3 linked regions of the Drosophila melanogaster genome follow. The protein of the gene in region 2 purifies or fractionates together with the protein of the main gene of each other region. This does not show direct contact. Each region holds a gene or a part of one and is shown on either strand. Other genes may lie near its edges.

The links. The genes of interacting proteins can lie anywhere in the genome.
Region 1: the proteins of ATPsyngamma (region 2) and mEFTu1 purify together in Drosophila melanogaster (affinity purification with mass spectrometry, with the first as the bait; one large-scale study listed by BioGRID). This does not show direct contact.
Region 3: the proteins of ATPsyngamma (region 2) and ATPsyndelta purify together in Drosophila melanogaster (affinity purification with mass spectrometry, with the first as the bait; one large-scale study listed by BioGRID). This does not show direct contact.

What each region holds. Positions count from the first base shown.
Region 1 is NT_033778.4:13,505,747-13,509,832, forward strand, and holds mEFTu1 (mitochondrial translation elongation factor Tu 1), read left to right. Parts: upstream 1-1,810; 5' UTR 1,811-1,912; exon of another isoform or gene 1,913-1,968; 5' UTR 1,969-1,997; coding exon 1,998-3,467; 3' UTR 3,468-3,586; downstream 3,587-4,086. Other genes in the region: mars, read left to right, coding at 1-112; mip120 (Myb-interacting protein 120), read left to right, coding at 3,951-3,981, 4,043-4,086.
Region 2 is NT_033777.3:29,747,213-29,751,096, reverse strand, and holds ATPsyngamma (ATP synthase, gamma subunit), read left to right. Parts: upstream 1-1,933; 5' UTR 1,934-2,273; exon of another isoform or gene 2,274-2,327; 5' UTR 2,328-2,349; coding exon 2,350-3,243; 3' UTR 3,244-3,382; downstream 3,383-3,884. Other genes in the region: yata, read right to left, coding at 1-116, 180-585, 646-869, 929-1,306; IntS11 (integrator 11), read right to left, coding at 3,700-3,884. UniProt on the Drosophila melanogaster protein: Mitochondrial membrane ATP synthase (F(1)F(0) ATP synthase or Complex V) produces ATP from ADP in the presence of a proton gradient across the membrane which is generated by electron transport complexes of the respiratory chain.
Region 3 is NC_004354.4:10,211,269-10,217,893, forward strand, and holds ATPsyndelta (ATP synthase, delta subunit), read left to right. Parts: upstream 1-1,701; 5' UTR 1,702-1,806; intron 1,807-2,012; 5' UTR 2,013-2,018; coding exon 2,019-2,217; intron 2,218-2,291; coding exon 2,292-2,503; intron 2,504-2,830; coding exon 2,831-2,893; 3' UTR 2,894-3,728; coding exon of another isoform or gene 3,729-4,853; 3' UTR 4,854-5,280; coding exon of another isoform or gene 5,281-5,286; 3' UTR 5,287-6,125; downstream 6,126-6,625. Other genes in the region: CG2962 (uncharacterized protein), read right to left, coding at 3,729-4,853, 5,281-5,286.

The sequences.
Region 1 (4,086 bases), on a different chromosome or scaffold from region 2:
CCTGGAACAGAATCCGGGAAGGGATTCCAATCAGGAGAATGAAGCAACTCCTCGCACGTACACGCTGCGCAATCGGCGGGTGAATCTGCGTCCCTCCTCCGAGTTTATGTAGTTTTGTCTATTGACAGTAATTGTCCGTTGTGGAATTGTTTATACTTTTATCTTCTTAGTTTAATATTTTTTTGCGGATGCCATTAAGTGTTAATTTATTAAGATGTTGAAAATTACATTTGGCGTTTTAAATGTTCGACGAGTATGTTCTGTGAAAATGAAAGCTTATTTTATTTTTAATTATCTATCTTACCTTGATTATAATTTAGACATAGTTAAAGGAATAAAAAAGAGAAGAATAAATAAATTTGAAATGCTTTTCTTATTGAAAGGGGATCGAAATTTAAAATTAACAATTTAATATCACAACACAGAAATTTGATTACGCGACTCAACTAGTAAAACTTGAATTTTGGAGTTCCAGAAAATTAATATTAAAATATTTGCATTTTTCAAGTTGTCTAAATAAATTTTAAGAATTTAGTTTTGGTATGAGTCTTTGCTAACATATTACCCAAGTCATTCACCTTCATGGCTCCGTATAATTTTGAAGTATTTTCCAGTATTTCCTAAGGAAATTTCAGTATATCTGCGTGTGTATGGCGGTATAATTTAACGGTAGCGACACGGTCTCACCCTGATTCATAAAAGTAAAGGAAGACCACTCGACGGCAATTTAAATTGAATTTTGAATTTTGCTGTTGCACTCGATTGTAAATACTCGTTGATAAGGCCGCCAAATGAAAGTGCACATAGCTGTGATATCGCGACGCGCATCTCACCGCAGTGACTAACCGCCTCGCGACCGTTTCGTTCGCCCGCGACGCCCTTTGAGTTCAACGCATTCACATTTCCCAGTGTGCAGATTTTCTTTTTGTTTTGTCCGCAGTCACCGCGCACTGCATTCAAAACAGCGCCCAACACACAATACGCGAACCACAGCGGCACAGCATACACAATACACACCCAGCATGGACACGAGTGGCGGAAATTTGGGTAAGGATCTGGTCATTTCGTATTTCAAATTGAATTTTCAACCTCTGGTACAGCGTGTACTCGCCATGGCAGTTGGGCCATTCGCTGGCGCGCAAATTGATCTCCTCGATTTGCGGCTCCCCCTTCGCTTGTCTACCCCCCTGCCACAACACCGGCAAGCTAACTTATGAGTGCGTATTGCATTGCGGTGTGCATATATCTGGCAATGGGTCTGAATTTAGATTTTTCGTAAGTTTGTGCACTCTGCTGACGAAACGAAAAAGTGCTTTTAACGATCTGGGAACATCCCATGGCGCTGCGTTGCCAGACAGCTTGTTACACACATGGGCATTTGTATGCTTGTGTTGGTGTTTTTAGTGGGGTACAGTCTTGGGGGCAAATGTTTTTACACTGTAAAAAGTATGCTAACGTGCAATTAGAGAATTGGCAAGCACATAAATTTAATTAGCAAGTTATATTTGGCATTGGTGTGTCCTATGAGTTTAGACGAGTTGTTGAGATGGGTGGTTAATGGGTGGAAAAAAACGCGCACAAAATAATAACGTCAACAAGGGGCTGCCACCCCTTTCAATGTTCTTATGCAAAAGTAGCAGTCAAATATATTACTCTATTTCAAAGTAAATATTTAAAGTAGTAGCCTGTTTTAATTAATGTTAATGTTTTATAATTATTTTACCATTATAAATTTTTTTTTTTTTAAATAATTTAACGTATCGATAAGTGGGTGGCCTATCGGACAACCTCCACCATGTGGCAACTCTGGCGCACAGCACATTTCAGGGTTTACGCAATTTCGAGCCGTAAGATTTTCTTCGACCTGTGAAAAGGCTTTTTACCCCCTGCCAGGATAGCTAAATCTTCACTCGTAAGTGCAGCAGGAGCTATCCATCGCGTAGCTCATATTCTAATCCACACATTTAGTTAAAAGCGCCAATAGGAAGCCCAGAACCATGTCACATGCATTTGCCGCCGCCGTCTGCCGGTCCACCGCATCCATGTCATTGGCCCTGCGCTGCAGCCGGCGCGCCATGAGCTCTGCCAGAATGCTGCGTATGGCGGGTGCCACTGCCACCTCCACGGCCTGCAAGGATTGGCAGAGAAACGGACTACTTGCTGCGCCCAGAACCGGCAACATGCAGCAGTACCTGCGCGAGTACGCCAACGAGAAGAAGGTGTTCGAGCGAACCAAGCCCCATTGCAATGTGGGCACCATTGGCCATGTGGATCACGGCAAGACCACGCTCACGGCGGCCATTACCAAGGTCCTGGCCGACAAGCAGCTGGCCGAGAGCAAGAAGTACAATGAAATCGACAATGCGCCCGAGGAGAAGGCTCGTGGTATTACCATCAATGTAGCCCACGTGGAGTACCAGACGGAGACGCGTCACTACGGCCACACAGATTGTCCGGGACATGCCGATTATATTAAGAACATGATCACCGGCACAGCCCAGATGGATGGCGCCATTCTCGTTGTGGCCGCCACCGATGGCGCCATGCCCCAAACTCGCGAGCATATGCTGCTAGCCAAGCAGATCGGCATTGATCACATCGTGGTGTTCATCAACAAGGTGGACGCCGCCGATGAGGAGATGGTCGACCTGGTGGAGATGGAGATCCGAGAGCTGCTTACCGAGATGGGCTATGATGGTGACAAGATCCCTGTGGTAAAGGGCTCGGCGCTGTGCGCCCTCGAGGACAAGAGTCCCGAGATCGGCAAGGAGGCGATCCTGAAACTGCTCCAGGAGGTGGATAGCTTCATCCCCACGCCTGTGCGCGAGCTGGACAAGCCCTTCCTGCTGCCTGTTGAGAATGTGTATTCGATTCCCGGACGCGGCACCGTCGTCACTGGTCGCCTGGAGCGCGGAGTGGTCAAGAAGGGCATGGAGTGCGAGTTCGTGGGCTATAACAAGGTGCTGAAGTCGACGGTGACGGGCGTGGAGATGTTCCACCAGATTCTGGAGGAGGCGCAAGCCGGTGATCAGCTGGGAGCTCTGGTGCGCGGCGTTAAGCGAGATGACATCAAGCGCGGCATGGTCATGTGCAAGCCGGGCAGTGTGAAGGCACTCGATCAGCTGGAGGCCCAGGTGTACATCCTGTCCAAGGATGAAGGCGGTCGCACAAAGCCCTTCATGTCCTTCATCCAACTGCAGATGTTCTCCCGCACCTGGGACTGTGCCGTGCAGGTGCAGATTCCCGATAAGGAGATGGTCATGCCCGGCGAAGACACCAAGCTCATTCTGCGCCTCATCCGGCCAATGGTCCTGGAGCAGGGACAACGCTTCACGCTGCGTGACGGAAACCTGACCCTGGGCACTGGTGTCGTCACCAGCACTCTGCCCCCATTGACTGAATCGCAGCGATCCGAGTTGACGGAGGGCAAGAAGGCGCGCGAGAAGAAGGTGGCGGCTAAGAAGTAGATCCCCGGAACGCCGTCAGTCATTAACTAAAATCATATTCTTAAGCGATTTTTATGCATATTGTATAAGTTGTTGGCGCTCCAATCACAATCGAGTAAAATATAAACAAACACCTATGGACAACGAAGTTTTAAAACTTGGAATATTAGTAGGGATCTTAAAATTGATTTAAAATAGTACGGCTTTTAAGTATTACTGTTGTTGCCTGACATTTCGGCATTTCAAAGGACTATTTGTTATATAAAGTTATGTAAGTAAGCATTGATCATTGATAAAGGGCAATATTTAATTTAGGCGCCACTCATCGATTGCTTATCGCTCTATGTTAACGGCATCCGAAATAGAGTGGTATCGAAATGGAGCCGATAAAATCAAACAAGGCCGATAATAACCTGACTACGACATTTTACAACACTGCTGCAACCGCCTTGAACGCAGCTGATGATAAAGAACATTTTGAAATTGATTTGAAAATTGGCAAAAATGAGTACCTACCGCGTAGACTACTTGACCGGTAGATTCAAGCACCGTAAACGTTTGTTTGCAAAGTAATTAATAACTTATTTTGTCCGCAGATTCCCTAGACGACACGGAACCATTGCCGGAGCTGAGTTTTGAA
Region 2 (3,884 bases):
AGATCCAGCTGCTGCAGCAGGCGCGATCGCGTCACTCGATCCGTGGAAGCGAACAGTTTGACCACGCAGGGCACAATGCGTTTCTGGTACTCCACCTCGTCCAGCAGTTTGCCCAGCTGCAAGATTATAACTCTTTGTGAAATCAAGTCATATAGGAGTATGCCAATTCAATAGACAACCTTAAACATGGGAGCCAGCACGGCAGAGCCCGCATCTCCGTACTCGTAGGCTGTTATCAGCTGTGGAAGAATCTTATGCCTGCACACGTTGTCCGGAAAGTTGTCGAGATGCGTGGTCAGACCACTGAAGAAGCGATTCTTCTCCGCCTTGTCCTTGATTTGGATCTCCTCTAGGAAGAGCAGTGTGTCCACCAAATCGTTTTTGAAAAAGCCTCCAGGCTTGCGGCAACGTGTGATTATATCCGCCGGGTTGGGACGATTCGAAGGCGAGGCGCCAACCAGCTCACAATAGAGCGATTGCAGGGACTTGGGTATGTGTTCTATATCCTTGAGGTTGGAGCGTTGCTTGAGCACACCGTTGAAAGCTTCCCACACGAGGCAGCCCAGGCCCCACATGTCCACGGAGCTGGTAGAGAATCCGATTTGAAGGATTATTAAAATAGTCTAAGGTGAGAGGATTACGTACCATTTGGTGGCCGCCTTGAGCTTGCTCGGATCGTTCTTTTCGGGGGAATCGTAGACCTCCAGGGTCACAGGTATTTTGGCGGGCGGCATGGGATTACCATCCGCCGCTGAGACGTACTCCAGGCTGCCCAGTTTCCATTCGCCGGAGGCATTGACAAACACCGACCAGGCGGAAACATTGTTGTGTCGCAGATTGCCATCGTTGTTGAGAAAGGACAGGGCGCGCTGAAAGGGATTGGTGACTTGGTTAGCTAGGGCAAAATATCAGGGATATGGATACCCACAGTGATCTGGAAGATGCCCCAGGCCAGGTAGAGGCCCTTTTGGACATTGTCGCTGCCCAGCTTGGAAAAGTAAGTGCCCAGCGGATCCACCGCCTCGGTGGCCACGTACAACATCTTGTCCGTTTCCAGCGAGTCCAGATACTGCAGGATGCTGGGGTGACGCAATGTCTTGAGGCGCTTCAGCGCCGCCTTGGCCAGCTCGCACTTGGTGTCGGATCCGCTACGGATGTCGTAGACGAACACAGACACCTCCTCCAGCGTCGTCTTGCGCTTGGCCTTGTGCAGCGTCCATATGGAGTATTGGTCAAAGCCGCCCACCGGTTCGCCAATGTCGTAGGGGAAGTCTTTCGAGGAGTCGCGCGAGAAGAACGACCACATTATGTGTTTTGCTCGGCGGCTCAATATTTTGTTACTGTTGTGTCACACAGCAACAGCAACAACAACAGCAACAACTGGCGATTGCAACTGCAACAACAACGCACTGCGCAGGCAACACACGCACGCACACACGCACGCACGCACTCACACACACGCACACCTTGTTGCTGCCACACAAAGGCACTGAAATCGGTGGAGCCCCGATTCTCGGTTTATCCTCAAGCACTATGCCTCTGTCTTTAGCCTTGGCTTGAGCCCTATCCTCCTCATGCCAATCCAGCCGCCTGATGTCCTTTATTTTCCTCCGATGCGCAGCAACAATTTTCCAGCTTTGCTTACGCACACACACACGCACACAGCTAACTTATCCGCTGTTTTTCGTCCCCAGAGGTCTCATCCCTGGGATCCCGGGTGTCCTGGACAGGGCGATCGTGTCTATGTGGCTCTGCTGCGGGTCGGGGGAGTCAGTAGATCGGATCGGGCGCTCGTCTCCGTCGAATTATCCTAATCTTTTTCCCGAGTACGTCAGCTTTTTTTTGCGTGAGGCGTTAGTGACGGAACTTCGTGGCTCGTGCGTGAGCAGCTGATTCCAAAACAGAGCTGGCAAGGAGAAGGAAAACTCTGGTCGAGGGTAGAAAACAAGCTGGCATCTTTGGCAAACCTCTTAATCCTTATCAATTATTATTCTGTTTTTAACTCTATTGTCATAATTATGAGTTACATAAATTCAAATTAATTTCAAGCTTTATTGTGCATTCTGAAGCTTTCCAAAGAAGTTTTGTATTTTATCCAATATTAATAGTTATATGTAGCACAAATCCATTATCCGAAATTTCCATAATTAAAATAAATTATTTAATATAATATTTTACCGTTCACCACGAATCGCCACCGCGTTAACCCGAACTGGGTGGCAACTCTGCTCGGTGTTATAACACTCGTTGTGGCGCAGCCAACTTAACGCAAGGTAGGTGAATTTTCTCAATTTTTGCCGAGTGAATCGAGCTAATTTTCGCGACAGGGAATCTTCGACAACTCACAGGATGATGATGCAACGCACCCAGCTCCTGCTGCCCCTGGCCATGGAGGCCACCATGCTGGCCCAGCAGCAGCGTGGCATGGCCACCCTGAAGATGATTTCCATCCGCCTGAAGTCGGTGAAGAACATTCAGAAAATTACGCAATCGATGAAGATGGTGTCCGCTGCCAAGTACGCTCGTGCCGAGCGAGACTTGAAGGCGGCTCGTCCTTACGGCATCGGCGCCCAGCAGTTCTTCGAGAAGACGGAGATCCAGCCGGACGAGAAGGCGGAGCCCAAGAAGCTGCTCATCGCAGTGACTTCGGACCGTGGTCTTTGCGGTGCCGTCCACACTGGTGTGGCCCGTCTCATTCGCGGCGAACTGGCCCAGGACGAGGCCAACACTAAGGTGTTCTGCGTGGGCGACAAGTCGCGCGCGATTCTGTCCCGTCTGTACGGCAAGAACATCCTGATGGTGGCCAACGAGGTGGGCCGACTGCCCCCCACTTTCCTGGACGCCTCGAAGATTGCCAACGAGGTTCTGCAGACCGGTTACGATTACACCGAGGGCAAGATCGTGTACAACCGTTTCAAGTCGGTGGTGTCCTACCAGTGCTCCACCCTCCCCATCTTCAGCGGATCCACCGTGGAGAAGTCGGAGAAGCTGGCCGTCTACGACTCGCTCGACAGCGACGTGGTCAAGAGCTATCTGGAGTTCTCGCTGGCCTCGCTCATCTTCTACACCATGAAGGAGGGCGCCTGCTCGGAGCAGTCCTCCCGTATGACTGCCATGGACAACGCTTCCAAGAACGCCGGTGAGATGATCGACAAGCTGACCCTCACCTTCAACCGTACCCGACAGGCGGTCATCACTCGCGAGCTGATTGAAATCATCTCCGGTGCCGCCGCCCTCACATAAGCGAATGGAATGTGTTCGAACAGCTCTAACGATTCATACAGCTAATTGCATATGGTGCCAGGCACCTGGAGCTACGCCTGGAGCCCTAGTAATGTTACTCTTTCAGAAAAACCCCAGAATAAATAGCGTGGAACGAACGAAAATAACTTTAACCATGGAGTCCTTACCTAATTGGAGTGGGAGGCAAGGAATTTGAAAGCACTTGCACAGGTCTGTTTGGTTTTTACACATTGATATCATGGGATTCGATTGCATTCTTATGCAAAGACCCATTGATATAACTTAATGTGCATAAAGTCTCAAATTTCAAGTGGCAATGACTAATGACCAAAAAACTATTGGAACGTTTATGTATATTTTGATACTCTTTAAACTTTCAGAAATTGGTGGTATCTACACTTTGTGCTTATCTATGGAATTAAGGCGTGGGATTTCAATGGGATGCTTCTTCGTTGCCTAGCACATATTCTGCAGCACATTCAGTATGTAGGCTCCAATGTCCTCGTCCTGGTTGGTCCACGATATCAAAATGTTCTTCTGCTTGGGATCCTTCTCGTCCTCCTCCACCTTCACCTCAACGGATTCGATGGCTATGGAGCCGTTCTCCTGCATCGTCACCGTCCAGCCGGCTAGCTTTTCTT
Region 3 (6,625 bases), on a different chromosome or scaffold from region 2:
TGTTTTATTCTTAATTAGTTGAGATTGACAACTAATCATAAAGATCGGATGACAAGAAAACCTACATATAATTTTGCCTGAATCAGATAGTACGAAGGGTATACACTTTTCGAAGTATCTAAAAGTACCGTAACAAAAAACAAAAGGAGCAGAAGATGAAAGCGAAGAAGCAAAAAGAGGAGCAACGACCCAACATTGTTGTTGTCTTATGCCGCTGCTTCTTTGCGATGTTGCCGTTCCGCTCGCACCGCTATAGCTTGGGGTCAATAGCTAAGGATCGGATCTGTTGTATATATGTTTATATAGACCGATTGCGGTTAGTTCTCTTATCAGAAATAACATGAAATATATTGCGTTGCGACGCCACTGGCGACCGCGACGCAGGCAGAGGGCAAGACAGCGGAGAAGAGAGTGAGTGAGAGTGTGACGGCGGAGAGAGAGGTAAACAAAAATACACAAACACATACACATGCGCGCTACAGCTGCTCGTTCACATGTGTATGCGGGCCTGTATGTGTGCAACAAACAAAAAGCAGAAAATCCTTCTCTTCTTCACACCCTTTTTCCACAACAAAGTCAGCTGTGTGTGTGAGGAATGAACTTTAAGGCAAGCTTTCTGTTTCTATTTTTTGCAGAGTTTTTCCAACTGAAAGGCGCAATTTGCTAAGACACCTATACACATACACGAAGAGCCAAGCAAAATAGAAGATATAACAAAACAAAATAGAAAATAAGCAGAGCGAAAAATATATAGACAGCTATCTATGCACACAAACACAAACATGGGGAAACACTGTTGTTTTTCGCAACTGCGTTTCGCCTGCAGGTGCGACAGAGAGGGCGCGAGTGGGTGACAAACTTGGGTAAATGTTGCAAGCACTTACGTCCTGTGTGTTTTGTTTGTTTGTTTGTTTGCTTGTCGCCTTTCGCTGTCGTTCGCCAACAAACACCTCAGCGCAGAGCACACACGCGACACGCACACACTCACACACAGTCACAGAGACGTGCACAAATAGCAGCCGAAAATGGCACTCTCTTCTTCTTCACTTGTATAATAATGCAGCAATCTGCATTGTTTCGTTTCTATTTCCAATTGGAATTTGTTGTTGTGCTGCCTGTGCCAGTGTGACCAGGTAGCGCGGTGGCTAAAAATAGTCGCTAACGCCAGTTTTGAATGTTGCGCGGGTAAAAGATTCGTGAGATACGAAAAAACTCCGAACTTTAATAAAAGGATCTAATAAAAAAGGAAATACTGAAAAAGAAACTAAACAAAATCAAAAACACCAGATTCATAACAGTATAAATGGTCGCATGGTTATGCCATGTAAACACACCGTTATTAATCAAAGTCTTAATCTAATAAAGGAAATTTCATTTTTTAAATTATAATTTTTGGAATAAATAGTTTTTCTTTTAATATCATTTTTAATGTACGATCAAAAGCAATATACAAAAAATTTAAGCTTTTAATTGGCGATGCCAGACTAATGAATTAAAAGAATAAGTGTTGCCACTAAAAGTTTATTGGTCTATATAATTTGTTTATTGATTGAGGCACTTTATTATTATAATTAAAACACTTAATTATTATGTGTGAAATGATTGCACTTTTTATTTTGTAAGAGCCTGTTGCGTATTGAAAATTTTGTATTTTGTCTTGTCCTCTAAATATCGTAAAAACGCGTTATTGCTAGATAAGTTTTGTATTCCCGGCTGGTCACTCTGACTTAAACGTTTTTCGCAAAAACAGCGGCTGATCACTGAAGTTTTCTCGTGTTTTTCGCTATCAAACCGAAATAAAAACAGGTGAAAATAACTGATAAATTGAGGGGTAGTCCACTGATCACAGTGCCCGAGGATTTGCAATGAAAAGCGATCGAAATTTGAGCTGGGGAAACGCAATAGCAGCCGCCGCCTAACCTACAAAGTTACATAATTTGGTTATTTTGTTGTTATGCTGGCTGGCTGTGGCAGAAAAGACTTTTAATCCTGAATTTATCCTCTCGTTGCAGCCCAAAATGTCCTTCGTTAAGAACGCCCGTTTGCTGGCCGCCCGCGGCGCTCGCTTGGCCCAGAACCGCAGCTACTCGGATGAGATGAAGCTGACCTTCGCCGCCGCCAACAAAACCTTCTACGATGCCGCTGTGGTGCGCCAAATCGATGTGCCTTCCTTCTCGGGATCCTTCGGCATCCTGGCCAAGCACGTGCCCACTCTGGGTAAGTTCGATCATTCAGTTTCAGTTGCCTCGAGATGGTTATATCACCGTTGGCGAATCTCTTTGCTATTGCAGCTGTCCTGAAGCCCGGCGTTGTCCAGGTGGTGGAAAACGATGGCAAGACCCTCAAGTTCTTCGTCTCCAGCGGTTCCGTCACCGTCAACGAGGATTCCTCCGTTCAGGTTCTGGCCGAGGAGGCCCACAACATCGAGGACATCGATGCCAATGAGGCGCGCCAGCTGCTCGCGAAATACCAGTCACAGCTTAGCTCCGCTGGCGACGACAAGGTGCGAATCTAGTCAAGAAGTTGCATAGTAGAGTAGTGTCTAGAAAGTAGAAGTAGTGGTCCAGAAAGTACAACTCAAACAGACTCTTTTGATGGAAACACTGCTTCCACCATTCACGCCAACTGGCATTTAAGTTACTAAACGATTTCTATGTGCCCATCCTTTTTACTTGATATACTTTCTTTGTACAAACAAGTTTGCTCTTAAATTAACGCTTACACATTCGATATTTCCATGAGTAAACTTATGTTTGAGTTGCTTTTGCATTCTGTATTGCACATTCTGAAGCTATCTAAACGAGACTTAACCACGATCCTTGTTTTGCAGGCCAAGGCCCAGGCTGCCATTGCCGTGGAGGTCGCCGAAGCGTTAGTCAAGGCTGCCGAATAGACGTAATCACCACACAACCGCCACCAATAAACCACAATCGATGCTTTGTGTCTGAAATAAATAAAAAACATAACGATCACCTTAAAAAGCCAGAGAGTTATGAAACAATAAAAAAGCGAATCATAATATCGTATTAATGACCCGTGATCCACCAGGCAAATGATTTTTTTTTCTTTTTTTTTTCATGTTATGCCGCTAAACTGTGTGTTTATATAGTTTATAATATATGTATGTGAGCTGGTGAAGAGAAATGTGTAATATTTGCTCGCTGTGGGATAGACCGTTGATATGATAATGCTTTGGCAATCTTTAAGTCAAAAATATGAGTGATTTGCATTTTGGCCGAAAGAGACGAACGTCGTTTCTTTTTCCCTTGCCAATTTATGCAAATCGCATAAGCATAAAAACTTACAATTTGTAAATGAGCTCGTCTTTCATCTTAACAAATAGTATAGTTTGTATTTCATCTGGTGTGTTGCATTCATGGATAGTTCGCATATCTTATCTCGGATGATTGTTTAAATTTCTCTCAAAAGTAGTAATAAAAAGCAACTTTGTTTTTTTTTTATGGAAACAAGAATTAATCAATGGCTAAAATTATACTTTTGGCAGATAGAAGATAATCCATTTTGAAACTCTTTATAAAGATGATAAATACTATAGAATTGAAAAAAGAAAATTGGATTTTTTTTTTTTGGAATTGTCTATGTATTTGGTAACAAAAAAATGTGTTGTAAAAAAAATGTCTTAAATTAACTCATGGCGTTGTGTGGGAATGGTAATATGCTGTCGATGTAGTTAGCAGGAAGGTCCTCCGATAGATTGGCGAATTGTTCTAGTATCCCGGTGGGCCGTAGGTCTGGGCAGGGGCGTGACCGATGGGCAGGGACTGCTCCTCGGGAGCAAAAACGGGTGCAGGAGCGGGATGTGGCACACTCAGGACGGGAGCGGGTGCTGGGGCGGCATAGACTGGAGCTGGGGCAGGAGCGGAGTAAACTGGAGCGGGAGCAGGAGCGGAGTAAGCTGGAGCGGGAGCAGGTGCGGAGTACACTGGAGCGGGAGCAGGAGCAGAGTACACAGGAGCTGGGGCAGGAGCGGAGTACACTGGAGCGGGAGCAGGTGCGGAGTACACAGGAGCGGGAGCAGGAGCAGCATAAACTGGAGCCGGAGCTGGAGCAGCATAAACTGGAGCCGGAGCAGCGATCTCCTGAGGAGGCAGGTAGGAAGCGACTGGAGCAGCCACTGGTGCGGGCACATCGATGGGGGCATAGGCTGGACCGGCAGCTGGAGCGGAGTGCTCATGGATCACACGCACCACCTTGGTGGCTCCACCCGAAGAGTAACCACCGGAGGAGTAGCCACCCGACGAGTAGCCACCCGACGAGATGCCGCTGTCGTGGCTCTCGTGAACGACCTTGATGACCTGGGACACGGCACCGCCGCCAACCGAAGAGCCGCCGATGAAGGATGGTCCAGCCACGGGTCCAGATGCCACATTCACCACCTTGACAATCTGCGGAGCGCTCTCGACCAGCGGGGCACTCACAATGGGTGCGGATTCCTGCAGGATCTTGATCACCTTGACGGAGGAGGGGGCGGGCCCAGCTGGAGGCAGATAAGCGGGTCCAGGAGCGGGTCCATAGCCACCGCCGCTGCCGCCAGAGATGACCTTCACCTTGAAGATCTGGGGAGCCGCCTCGTAGCCATAGCCGCTGCCATAGCTAGCGCCGGAGGAGTAGCCAACGCCGCCCTGCTGATGGATCACCTTGACCACCTGGACTGGGCCACTGGGTCCATGGCCGCCATAGCCGCGAGCGCCACTACCACCGCCGCCGCCTCCGTTGCCACCACCGCCTCCGAGGTTAAGGCCGCCACCACCGCCTCCACCGCCGCCACCGCCGAGGAGTCCCAGGAAGCCAGCGTTGGCCACAGCGAACAGAGCACACATGCAAACGAAGACCTGGAAGGATGGCAGAGTATAAGAAGCGATTTAGTTTCATGTTTCATGTTGCATCCTTAGAGGATTTTAAAGAATATATAAAGTTCATTAAGTTTTTGTTATGTTTTCCAATTAGAAAGTAGAGTTTTATCGCTGGTTTTTTTTTCTATATCTTTAAAGGATCTTTGATCTTCATAGACTGTATTTTCCAAATGGATATACTTTGTATTCATTCTTTGTTTAAATATTTTCATTTTCAATCTTCTGATATTCTTCAGCACACTTTGTATTTGAATATTAACTATCACTTCTTCGAAAGTTCGAAAGAATTTAAACTGAGCTCAGGATGCTCTTGCCACTTTGTCACTTTTCAAATCAGTTTGGATAAATAAAAAAAAAAAAACTAGAAGAGGATATTTGCCGGCACAGGACATTGTGAGCAGCTCACCTTCATGCTGACTACTAATCCACTTGATGCGATGATACCAATTCCAAAAAAAAAAAAACGCCTTGAGTGCCGATGAGCAAGCGACTGATGTCCGATCGATTGGAGACCAAGTCTTTTATACGATATAAGCCAGCAAGGGCGAACAAAAGGCGTTTCATTAACATTTCCAAACTGCCCATCAACGCCATCATCATCATCGCCACGATGATGAGCAGCATCATGATGATGGGCTTTCGTTTTCATTTCGATTTTCACCAAATGCTGCTGGACGCACCCAAAAGTGCCAATCGTCGTGGTTGGTTCTTCCATAGCCAGTTGGATTCGGAGCTACCAGCTACCAGCTACCAGCTACCAGCTACCAGCTACCAGCTACCAGTTTCAGTTTCATCAAGTCTTACGCTGCATTTCCCAAATTCCGAATGGGGATCCCACAATTAGCATGAAAATGAGACGCTACGTTAGTGATAAGCTCGGAATGGGGCTTTCATATTTCGTATTTTTTTTTTTATTCGGCATCTTATGTTTTATGGTTTAGGTTTTCGTTTTCATTTTGATTTTGATTTCGATTTGGATTTTGGATTTTGGTCAATTCAATTTGCATACACGGGCGTGCTGCAAAGCGGTTGCCTCACAAGGCGGCCGGCAGTCTGTCATAAACCAAAGCGAAAACCTAACCCAACCCAACCCAATCCAATCCAATCGAAACCAAACCAACCCATTCCATTTCACCTCATCCGGCAATTTCAAGGTGAATCTGAATCGGAATCTGTTGTCAAGCCGAACCATCTCATTGATGGTGGCTATATTCCATCTATATGCAGGTATTTATAAAACGAGCCGATTATTATGCAAGCCACCAGTCGCATCTTCGAGCCATGTAAAACGCATTATGTTGGCCCAATAGGCCAAAGATGTTGTAAAATTGGCCAACGGTTCGGATCAGTGATATCTGTTGGCGCATTTTAAATAGCCACTAAGTATTACATACTTACAACAATAAACATATGTTTATTTACACAAATATTCAACATAATCAACTGATGTGCATATATATATATATCCATTTAGAATCATATTTCTACTCAGTTTATAACAATTTTATAAAATACTATCAAATTGTTCAAATTGGTTATGCTTTTCGGTTAAGAAACGTATTAATTTATACCAAAAAAAAAAGAGATTTTCAGTGGGCAGATCAGATTGGTGGGAAATCAAGTAATATCCAAGAAATGGTTGGCTAACCTGCACTCTGCCACTAATCGTGATTATGATCTTGTCGCGGTCTATTATGGTTTGTTAATTGATCCATGCATGGAATGCATCTGTTGAGAAACTACATACATAC